Xenopus tropicalis: one gene and its partners. The protein of the gene in region 2 binds, or shares a complex with, the protein of the main gene of each other region. Links are inferred from orthologs where the notes say so. Each region holds a gene or a part of one and is shown on either strand. Other genes may lie near its edges.

Region 1 (4,073 bases), on a different chromosome or scaffold from region 2:
ACTGTACTGTCTAAGGGAAACACCATGGCACCCCCTACCCATATGTATAAATACAAATATACAGAGAGGGAATGTTCTGGGCACACAATAAGCTGTACCCCCATACTGTACTGTCTAAGGGAAACACTATGGCACCCCCTACCCATATGTATAAATACAAATATACAGAGAGGGAATGTTCTGGGCACACAATAAGCTGTACCCCCATACTGTACTGTCTAAGGGAAACACTATGGCACCCCCTACCCATATGTATAAATACAAATATACAGAGAAGGAATGTTCTGGGCACACAATAAGCTGTACCCCCATACTGTACTGTCTAAGGGAAACACTATGGCACCCCCTACCCATATGTATAAATACAAATATACAGAGAAGGAATGTTCTGGGCACACAATAAGCTGTACCCCCATACTGTACTGTCTAAGGGAAACACTATGGCACCTCCTACCCATATGTATAAATACAAATATACAGAGAAGGAATGTTCTGGGCACACAATAAGCTGTACCCCCATACTGTACTGTCTAAGGGAAACACTATGGCACCTCCTACCCATATGTATAAATACAAATATACAGAGAAGGAATGTTCTGGGCACACAATAACAAAAAAGAAAGTCTAAGCAGGCACTGCCCACACAGGCTTTTCAATACAGATAATAAGGGAAAGTCATATTCAATTTGGGTCCCAATTTCTTAGGGCCCTTATGTGCTAACCAGGGGCCCCAGGGCCACTGTATCTCTATGGAATTATCTTTATTTACTCGCTCTCTGAGACCCCCCAGTAACAGGATCAGGGTTAGAGAGCAATCCCAGCAATCCCACAGGCACCAATAACACTGTCTCTTTAAATTCTTCTTGATTCTATTTATCCTGAAACAACATAGACAGACTGGCGACTCTGTAGCAGCAACTCCACAGCAAAAGTGTAGCCCATGGAGGATTATGGCCCCCCCCCCCCCTTCCATCATAAATGGAATATAAAACCTGAATACAATTGTCCAATAGGCAGCATCGCCCTCTAGCGACCAAAAGAGGTATCACACTGAACGCTATTTAGCAAGTTGGCAGGGAACGTCCAGTGTAGGTAGAAGTACACATGCGCAGTCTCCTTTCCGCCGTTACAACCCCGCCTCTACTGAGGCTGGCCAATAGAAATAGGCGTTTCTCGTTCCTCCTATTGAGAAAACGCCGCAGTGACCCTTAGCCAATAGAAACCTTTATTGTACCAGTTAGCCAATAGGAAGCGGCGCTGAAGGTATGGGCGGCTGGTTCGGCTTTGCCAGCTGGAAAGATGGCGGACCGGCTGACGCAGCTCCAGGACGCGCTGAATTCGGTGAGCGCTTTATCTGTGTGTGGGGTTTGTGGGGTTTGTGGGGAAGGGAAATACATCCTCTCGCTGCCCGCAGTTGGGTCCCATCTCGGCTTTATAGTCACATTGTAACTAATGGTTTATTCCATTCATTGCTCGCAGCCCCCACACTGTGTCCAATGGATCTTATTACCCAGAACCCCATGTCTATGAGGGTTCCCTCAGCTGATGCGGATTATATCGCCGCCCCATCCCATATATATCCCCGTATATCCCATATATATCCCTGTATATCCCATATATATCCCCGTATATCCCATATATCCCCCTGTATATCCCATATATATCCCCGTATATCCCTATATATATCCCCCTGTATATCCCATATATATCCCTGTATATCCCATATATATCCCCGTACATCCTATATATCCCCCTGTATATCCCATATATATCCCCGTACATCCTATATATCCCCCTGTATATCCCATATATATCCCCGTATATCCCATATATCCCCCTGTATATCCCATATATATCCCCGTACATCCTATATATCCCCGTATATCCCATATATAGCCCCGTATATCCCACATCCCCCTGTATATCCCATATATATCCCCGTATATCCCACATCCCCCTGTATATCCTATATATCCCCCTGTATATCCCTATATATATCCCCGTATATCCCTATATATATCCCCGTATATCCCATATATCCCCGTATATCCCATATATCCCCGTATATCCCATATATCCCCGTATATCCCATATATCCCCGTATATCCCATATATATCCCCGTATATCCCTATATATATCCCCGTATATCCCATATATATCCCCGTATATCCCATATATCCCCGTATATCCCATATATCCCCGTATATCCCATATATATCCCCGTATATCCCATATATATCCCCGTATATCCCATATATCCCCGTATATCCCATATATCCCCGTATATCCCATATATATCCCCGTATATCCCATATATATCCCCGTATATCCCATATATATATCCCCGTATATCCCATATATATATCCCCGTATATCCCATATATATCCCCGTATATCCCATATATATCCCCGTATATCCCATATATATCCCCGTATATCCCATATATCCCCGTATATCCCATATATATCCCCGTATATCCCATATATCCCCGTATATCCCATATATCCCCGTATATCCCATATATATCCCCGTATATCCCTATATATATCCCCGTATATCCCATATATATCCCCGTATATCCCATATATATCCCCGTATATCCCTATATATAGCCCCGTATATCCCTATATATAGCCCCGTATATCCCTATATATAGCCCCGTATATCCCTATATATAGCCCCATATATCCCATATATAGCCCCGTAAATCCCTATATATATATCCCGGTACAGATAAGTACTTGCTATTGGCAGCAGTGCCCAGCTCCACCCCCAGGTTCTGACTCCTGACACAATGTAGCAGGTCAGTTTAATACCAGCCTATTAACTCCCTCAGTGCCAGGGGGGCATTGGATGAATGGAGTTGTAACCCCTCCCCTTTGTCTCTCCAGCTGGCCGATCAGTTCTGCAATGCCATCGGGGTCCTCCAGCAGTGCGCTCCCCCCGCCTCCTTCAGCAACATCCAGACGGGCATCAACAAGGACCAACCGCCCAACCCCACTGAAGGTGAGAGACTGCGAGTGGCCCCCAAACTGCCCCGTTACCCACCCAAATGCCATTGTAACCACGCCCACTGCGCACTGACACACCCCCAGCACTGACTACCAGACCAGCACACAAAGGGTGTGAAACTGTCTGTCACTGCTCTGTGTGTATCAGCCAATGCGTTTATAGACACGGGGTAGGAGTACCGGGAAATACACTCCCCCGTGCACAGGAAGCAGAGACAGTCACACGGGTACCAGGAAATACACTCCCCCGTGCAAAGGAAGCAGAGACAGTCACACAGGTACCGGGAAATACACTCCCCCGTGCAAAGGAAGCAGAGACAGTCACATGGGTACCGGGAAATACACTCCCCCGTGCACAGGAAGCAGAGACAGTCACATGGGTACCGGGAAACACATTCCCCCGTGCACAGGAAGCAGAGACAGTCACACGGGTACCAGGAAATACACTCCCCCGTGCACAGGAAGCAGAGACAGTCACATGGGTACCAGGAAATACACTCCCCCGTGCACAGGAAGCAGAGACAGTCACACGGGTACCAGGAAATACACTCCCCCGTGCACAGGAAGCAGAGACAGTCACATGGGTACCGGGAAACACATTCCCCCGTGCACAGGAAGCAGAGACAGTCACATGGGTACCAGGAAATACACTCCCCCGTGCACAGGAAGCAGAGACAGTCACATGGGTACCGGGAAACACATTCCCCCGTGCACAGGAAGCAGAGACAGTCACACGGGTACCAGGAAATACACTCCCCCGTGCACAGGAAGCAGAGACAGTCACATGGGTACCAGGAAATACACTCCCCCGTGCACAGGAAGCAGAGACAGTCACATGGGTACCAGGAAATACACTCCCCCGTGCACAGGAAGCAGAGACAGTCACATGGGTACCGGGAAATACACTCCCCCGTGCACAGGAAGCAGAGACAGTCACATGGGTACCAGGAAATACACTCCCCCCTATATTTATATCAAAACATTATATCGATTGTTCTGCTTTAGTGCCTTCATACTCGTTTCCCAGTCTGTTGCTATGGGCCTCTGTAGGGGAAGTTCA
Region 2 (3,500 bases):
CAGAACAGGCTTTCATCGCTGATATGGGTGCATTGAGGCAGATTTAATGTTGGTTTTAATACTGCTGGGCATCTTACCTGTTTAATGACATTAAAAGATAATTTACATAAAGGAATGTGGTCAAAGTAAAATGAATACATACAAAAAGAGAATATCCATTACTAAAATAGGTAAACCATGTAAATAGCACCTACCTGGCTGGCTGCCCTGTGACATTGATACTCCAGCCATGTGTTGTTGCTGTTGGTTTGGTGGCAATGACATTGGAACCTGCATACCTGTAGCATTTGGAAGCATGCTGCTGGCTCCTGTCTGTCCTGGAGCCATAGGACCACCTTGTCCTGGTGGGCGACGATTTGAAAGTCCTTTTCCAAATGCCACAGCAGCTACAAGTGCATTTGTGTCGGTAGGATTAAATGTTTGCTTGTTCTGTCTTAAACCTAGATTAAGAAATTACACATGTACAATGTGACCAAAACATGAAGTTACAGAAAAATATAATTCTGTGATACACATTATTTCTACACTACAAGTATGGGATCCATTAGATAGTTTGTAGTCAATAAAGGTGTTAAAGGGATGGGTCACCTTTTGCCGCCTTCTACTGCTTCTTTTCACCTTCAAATGAGGGTCACTGACCCCAGCAGTCAAAAACTATTGCTCGGTGAGGATACAGTTTTATTGTTAATTATTATTACTTATCTCTCCATTCAGCCCCTCTACTATTCATATATCAGCCCAGTAAAGTGTCTGCCAATATTATAAGTGCAGAAGATCAGTGAATAGCTAACTGCAAATTGTTTGCTGTGTGCTAATGGACCAGGGCAAACTTTGTCCATGTTTACATAACTCCATTTTCTCCCTTAAGCTTTGTAAGAAACACATATATGAAATATTTAACACACATATACAATCATTTCATATTTTACATATTGCAGAGAAACATGGCATTAGAGATGCCTTGTTTGACTAATTGTTGATTGGTACTAACCCTAACACAAACCCAACCCGGCCTCCTGGAATTCCCTATATACCTGCACCCAACCTGCTTTTACCGAAGGGGGTGAGCATAGAACAGCGTGAGTATATAAATTAAATGTACCCGTGCCATTTGATTAGGACAGTTTGTTGGTGAAGGCTAGCAAGGAGGAGCAGTGGCAAGGATCCTGACCCCTAGAAACTAAAAGACACCTATCAATCTTAACTGTTTCCCCCACTGAAGGTGTGGCCTAAAAAAACTTGCAAATAATAATATTTCTTTAGGTAAATTCCCACAGAATAGGATATGTTCCCGGTGCTGGCACATAATAAGTGTGCTAGGGCACATCCGCACTACTGCAGTATGTCTGATATTTGCCCAAAGTGTGGACACTGGCTTTAATAAAAAAAAGAACTAGTATAGAGTACTTTATATACTGGTAGATAATTGACATTTTCTTATGAATGCTGATTTAATGCAGAGCACTATTTATATAAACAATTCTCTGGTACTGCACAGAGTCCAGAGAGAACTATAGCAAACTCAACATGTCATAGCAGCTATCAACCCAAACCAAATACTCACTTCCAAGTTCAGACTCCCTCTCTTCTTTGCTAATTTTGTCTAACAGATTGGAACACATTTTGTTCATACTCTGAACTTGTTTCTAGAGAAAATAAAACCAAATCAGCAATATGGACAATGTGGCAAAAACCAATAAAAATGCTTAGAGGGGAACTATACCTGTGCAGCCTCAGAGGTGATACGGGCTGCTTCAGCACTTAGCTGTTTTTCTAGCTCTTCCACATCAGGGTCTGGTTTTGTTCTCAGGTGATCTGGTACCACTTCATGGCTAAATACTGGAACCCTACCTTCTGTCAGACGCTGTAGGCAAGGAAAGGTATGACAGCCAAAGTTTGTACAAGATTTGTCATCAAAAGCAGTTATTTCATAAACTTACCATGATCTCCTCATCTCTGTCCGGAGACAAAAGAAGTGGAATGATGACCTGGTTTCTTAGAAGAGGTGTCTTCTCGTTTTTAAGCACTTTGTTCAGTGTGTTCAATTGCCCAGACAGAAGTGCAAAACTATCAAGTACAGATGGCCTAAAAAAGATATACTAATCAGACAGAAACTGGCACATGTGGCTGAGACACACAAAAACAGGAATAATTCAGTCCATACGAATCCTGCCTTACTGACGGATTTTAGATTAACATTACAATTATTATATATTCTGCATTAGGAGTATAAGGAGATTTAAAATTCGCTTTCCATGGCTGCATAAGCAAACCCGCTGAATCGAAGGAAATGTGCAGTTCCTGTTTTGGTTGTAGAAACAAAAATAAAATAGAAGGCAAAAAAAATTAGACTTTAAAGAGACACATTTTCTGTTGCTTATATGACAAGAATTAAAAAGCAAAAAAAAGATTGTAAGCTTAAAAATCAAGGCCCTATGATACATTTATGCCAATAATTATCACTGTTTGTACTGAATCAAGGATGGGACAAACACTCTGATATTGATTCAGCAGAAAGAAGCCCAAAAGATTCTATTCCCTTTAGAAAAAAATGCAGAATAGTGGAAGTAATAAACACAGAAGCATTTTCAGGCCAAAACTGGCCCCTGACAGGTGGATTCCACTGCTCTCTGCAAACACTTGGGGGACTCAGATTTTATTGGCGTTTCCTTGTTGGTGGGAAAATGTCAGTTTCTGATTGGTACCACAACAGACTCGGTGTTTCCAAGATGGTTTTGTTGATTTATGCTGTTGTCTGGCAATATGCAGCATGGCAAGATCAAGATCACTGACTGCAAAGTAGTTTTATAAGAGACACAGCAGATGAGATTTCAGGTTAGCCGCTGGTCACAGGAGTGGGGGGGGGGGGGGGTGTTGAGGGTTACAACTGGGCTCTAAGCCTTTCCTTCTTAAATTTCACTGGGTATTCAGTTTATGTTGGCCAATAATTTTTTGTGTTCATCAAACAGTGAACTGCCCTACCTGAAAAACCAAACGTTTAACATTAAAATGTGTTTTATTATTGGGTACATTCACCCACAAATTTACTTTTTAACTTGCAGACATTTGCAACTGCTTTTCCAGTGTGATCCAACCATCCCAATCAATGCAGAATCTGTGATTATTTCTGACAGAGGGATTCCAAACCATCTGTGGCTAAATAATATTGGGCATATCTGGCATATGTTGTTATGCCAGATAAAGCACTGTTAGTAGCCTTTGCCAAGTGCTTGCTGTCCAGTGGGAGTATTTGAAATAACTCATGTGCCTCATCTGTAATGTTCTAATTTTGAGGCAAACCTCTCCTTTAACATAGAAAATAGTCTTCACTGCCAAATGTGTTCAATACTTTAAAAATATCTGCTTTAACACACCATGTCAGTCGGTCATACTCATTTTCAAGTTTGTGGATAAAGCCAACCAAAGAGTTTTTGATGTCAGAAACTTGAGATATAAGGGCATCCAGGCAAGCCTCAAGCTGCTTCTCTTCTCTCTGTAGG
Region 3 (4,144 bases), on a different chromosome or scaffold from region 2:
TGCTGATCACTTTCTTTTCCCTTAGCCACACCCACATTCATTAGTAGAGTAAACGTTATCTTTTTGCCAGTACAGCACTCTGTAGTGCCAGTTTTCTCTTTACACCATGTTTTTGGATCAGTATGAAGAATCCTAGCTGCTCACTCAAAGGAAATCTGGTCAGCTGATGGCATTAATAACGATTGTTGGGGACAGTAATGGATGGTATTGAACTGGGTATACAGTAATCCAATTGTGTGGGGTGCACCTGGCACAAAGACCTTCTGAGCAGATGATTTTTTAAAAAACACTTGGTTAACAGTACTATAACCAGACATGTCAGCTAACCACATGTATATTTGCCATCTTTTTGCACAGATAATACCAGCAGGGGTAGGGGCAGGTCAGTATAGAGACTGGCTGTGACATAAAAGGGTGGATGGAGTTGTGACATCAAGGGTCAAATCTGATGTTGGTAGTATGACTGGTGTCTGTTGGAGCTGAGATGGGAGTGGTGTGCTTGGTCAGATAGATTAGTTATTACAAATATATATCCAAGTACATTGATGGTAAATTTGTAATACTGGCAATGCCCTAGGCTGGTAAAATACTAACCAGGTGGCAGCCCTAAACCTGTCAGTCAGGGTTTCCTCTTCACTTTCAATAGCAACATGAAAAATGGTCTTAAAAATACCCAGAGTGGTTAATTATTTGCAATATCTACATTTTTACAGGAGAGTTTAGGCCATGCCATGACCATGTTCATGCCCCTACTCCTCTGGCTCTGCCATCTTTACCTGAATCTGCGGGGATTTGGGGGTTTAGGCCTTTTAAATTACAAGATTGACTGAGCTATAACTATGGATGTCTAGGGCCAGAATAGCATTATTCCCAACCCAAATCTGCATTATCACCCTAAGGATTGTCTTGACAACTAAATCCTCAAATGCTGTTATGAGGTGACAATAAAGCACTTTATACTGAAGCCACTGTCCCTTTAATAAAAGCAGATCCAAAAACATATAACAGAAACCACTTATAAAGGAGATAGGAGACGCAAAAATACATTAATAAAATGACCAGTTGCAAAGTGGCTTATATTTCTTCCATCTTCTAGCTACTTCAATTTAATTTAAAAGTTAACTTTCCATTTAAAATATCAACCAAAAATGAAGCAGAAGTTGTCCCATGACAATTTGACGTTCCCGAAATTAGCCATCATTCCTCTCTATTAAAGTTGCCGTTTTGGCCTTTACAAAGATGGCGGGTTTTCGTTTCCTTATACGCAGCCAGCACGCTTTCCTCCTGTTTCGACCTTCCCAACATGGCGCCGATTCGATTTTTACACGCATCAGGGTTACGGATGACGTAAGCCGTAAAGGACTGGTACACCCTCCGCCCCCTTGCGGCGATTCCCTTTTGTGCGAGGGGTCGAAATTGTTGCTTCCGGGGACCGGACATCGGAGGCGATAGCCGAGAGAGGGAAAGCGAGTTACTCGGTGACTAGCGAGGCACTGTGGTAATAGGGACAGCGAATGAGTGAGAGGTGGGTACTGCTACTGTTACTACGAGCGTATATAGGAGACATCTCAGGGCACATAGAGACATGCTATAGTGTTTTTGGCAGGGTTTAGGTGGGAGTCTGAAGATTTGGTTAGGAACTGTATGACATACATGTGTATTGGGATTATATATATATATATATATATATATATATATATGCCAGCACTGTGGGTACTTACACATTACATGCTAATACTGTGCCATACAGGTGGTTACTTACAGGTGGTACAGAGGGCACTGTAGTTAAAAGTGGGCACTCCTTACTCCATCACTTTCCACTTCCTCAGACCCTGGTGTCAACAATGAAAGTCAAACCCACAGACTGAGAATTGCAGACTCAGATACACACTGGCCAAATTTACTACACAACTGTAGACTTGGTTTAACACTGTATTAGGTCTTTGGTACTTGGGTGTTTTGAGTGCCACTGCCCCTGTGTCAGGCAGGGTGCTTTTCATTGATTAACATTACAACTAGCTTCAGACAAGCCCCCTGTGTGTAGTTTTAGTTTTAAATGGGATCAATATCTTTCTCCTTAAAGGAGTATTCCACCCAAACACAACTTAAGCATTTGGAAAAGTATACATGAATCTGGCTGACTACTTTGTGACTCAAATAAAATGTAACAGTAGTCACCTGTCTTCAGTCTGCATATTCCCAATCCCACAATTCCCTGTTGCACATGTGATGTCAATAAGGAAAGAAACATCACAGTGCAATGCATTGTGGGTTATGTGAATCTTGCATGCTGTCTGTAAGCTGTGGAGAGGTTGTTACAATTTGTAACATCAGTGTTTTAGTCCCTCCTTCCCTGCCAGGATTTTAAATGATACAGAAAGAGAAGAACTGTTTTGCAGCTAGATTTCAGCATATCAAAATGGTATTTATTCATACCTTTTGAAGGAACAGATTACAGTGATAGGTATATTAGAGGTTTCTGTGTTGTGTGGGGCTCTTTAGCAAATTTTTGTTTTGTTTTTGTAGTTCCCCTTTAATGTCATCAGTGTCTTACAGAACTGCTGCTTGGTATAGAACTGAGCAAAGAAGCATCAGGAGATTATTTCTTGTTCATTAAAGTAGAACAGCAGTGAAGCTTTTGTTACATACAATCAGTAATGAAGATGAAAAATTAAGATTATCTCAAAAAGTTATAAAGCTATGGTTCCACACAAAATCCTTTTGGCTGATTTTGAAAATATTCATTTTCACTTTTCAGCGTGACTATATGCATGCTGCTTTGTACTTTCATTTTTAATCAGTTTTCCAAATTTCTAATTGATATCTTTAACTTGAATTGAAAAATAGTTTGAATTTTTTAAATCCAACTCCCATTGACTTCAAGATGAACTTGTCAGCTTTTAGACACAGATTCTTTAATTTGAATCCCTGAGTTTCAGAAAATGAATGTATTTAGCTTTTTGCTGAGTAGCTCTCCAGTTTGCAATTTCAGCAGCTATCTGGTTGCTAGGGTCTTGGTTACCTTAGCAACCAGGCAGTGGTGTGAATGACTGGAATATGAATAGAAGAGGGACTAAATAGAAAGAATAAGGAATAAAAAGTTACAATAAAATGAAATTGTAGCCTCAAAGAGCAAATGTTTTTTGGCTAGTGGGGTCAGGGGACCCCCATGTAAAGATAGCAAATAATTAAAAAACTATTAAAAACAAATAATTAAGACCAATTGCAAAGTTGCCAATAGTACATTTTATAACATACTAAAAGTTATCTTAAAGGTGAACCACCTCTTTAAATCACAGTAAAAACTTGTATACAGATTTATATAAATCTGACCCTAAATGTTTTCTATGCCAGCAAAGAAAAGGCTGGCGTTGTTAAAACCTTGTTTTCATAGAAGACATTGGAATCCTCTGATTCCACTGTGAGAAGTAAAAAGAACCCTACAAATTCAGGATACCTTTTGGACAATTTCACCCATAATATTCTCCATAATTAACCTTTTTGCCCCTAAATTGCGAAAAATCTGGCCCATGTTTGCACATAAAACACTGGGATCCTCTGATGCATCTGTGATTTAAAAAAAACAAAAAACTCCACATTATTAAAAAAAATCAATTTCACCTATTTTCTTCCACTAAATTGGCCCATATTTGTGCCTAAATTGTGAAAAATCTGGCCTTCGTTTTCGTGTCGACTTTCAAAAGCCACTGTGAAAAAAAGAACCTAAACACACTAGATGCATTTTAGTAGTTTCATTCACTGTCTTTTCCTAAATTAGCTTTTTGTCCCTAAATTGTGAAAAATATTGTCGTCGTTTTGACAGAGCACTGGAATCCTCTAAAGAGCCTAAAGAACTTTGGCCAATTTTACACATTTTCTTCTGTTTAAGTAGCCCTTCGTTTGTGCATATATTGTGAAAAATCTGTCCCTAGTTCTTGCATTAAAAACACTTGGACCCGCATTCAGTCACTGCATTCTCTTAAATTACTTTTTTTCTTGTTCCAAAATTGTGAAAAAATATGACAGTTTGCACAAAAATTAGACCAAAGTCTGATGCCAAAGTAAAAGAGCCTAAAACATCAATTACATTTGCAAATCAAAATAACTGCTTATTTATATGTTACTTTTGGTGACAGCTGGTGTG

The links. The genes of interacting proteins can lie anywhere in the genome.
Region 1: med8 (region 2) and med21 share a complex: the UniProt entries of both Homo sapiens proteins name them as parts of the mediator complex. The link is inferred for Xenopus tropicalis from reciprocal best matches to the Homo sapiens genes MED8 and MED21.
Region 3: med8 (region 2) and med24 share a complex: the UniProt entries of both Homo sapiens proteins name them as parts of the mediator complex. The link is inferred for Xenopus tropicalis from reciprocal best matches to the Homo sapiens genes MED8 and MED24.

The regions. Positions count from the first base shown.
Region 1 is NC_030679.2:3,066,106-3,070,178, forward strand, and holds the start of med21 (mediator of RNA polymerase II transcription subunit 21), read left to right. Parts: upstream 1-1,273; 5' UTR 1,274-1,299; coding exon 1,300-1,341; intron 1,342-2,893; coding exon 2,894-3,008; intron 3,009-4,073. UniProt on the Homo sapiens protein: Component of the Mediator complex, a coactivator involved in the regulated transcription of nearly all RNA polymerase II-dependent genes.
Region 2 is NC_030680.2:88,531,562-88,535,061, forward strand, and holds part of med8 (mediator of RNA polymerase II transcription subunit 8), read right to left. Parts: intron 3,494-3,500; coding exon 3,375-3,493; intron 2,086-3,374; coding exon 1,941-2,085; intron 1,865-1,940; coding exon 1,724-1,864; intron 1,647-1,723; coding exon 1,565-1,646; intron 441-1,564; coding exon 195-440; intron 78-194; coding exon 13-77; 3' UTR 1-12. UniProt on the Homo sapiens protein: Component of the Mediator complex, a coactivator involved in the regulated transcription of nearly all RNA polymerase II-dependent genes.
Region 3 is NC_030678.2:112,543,924-112,548,067, reverse strand, and holds the start of med24 (mediator of RNA polymerase II transcription subunit 24), read left to right. Parts: upstream 1-1,344; 5' UTR 1,345-1,525; intron 1,526-4,144. UniProt on the Homo sapiens protein: Component of the Mediator complex, a coactivator involved in the regulated transcription of nearly all RNA polymerase II-dependent genes.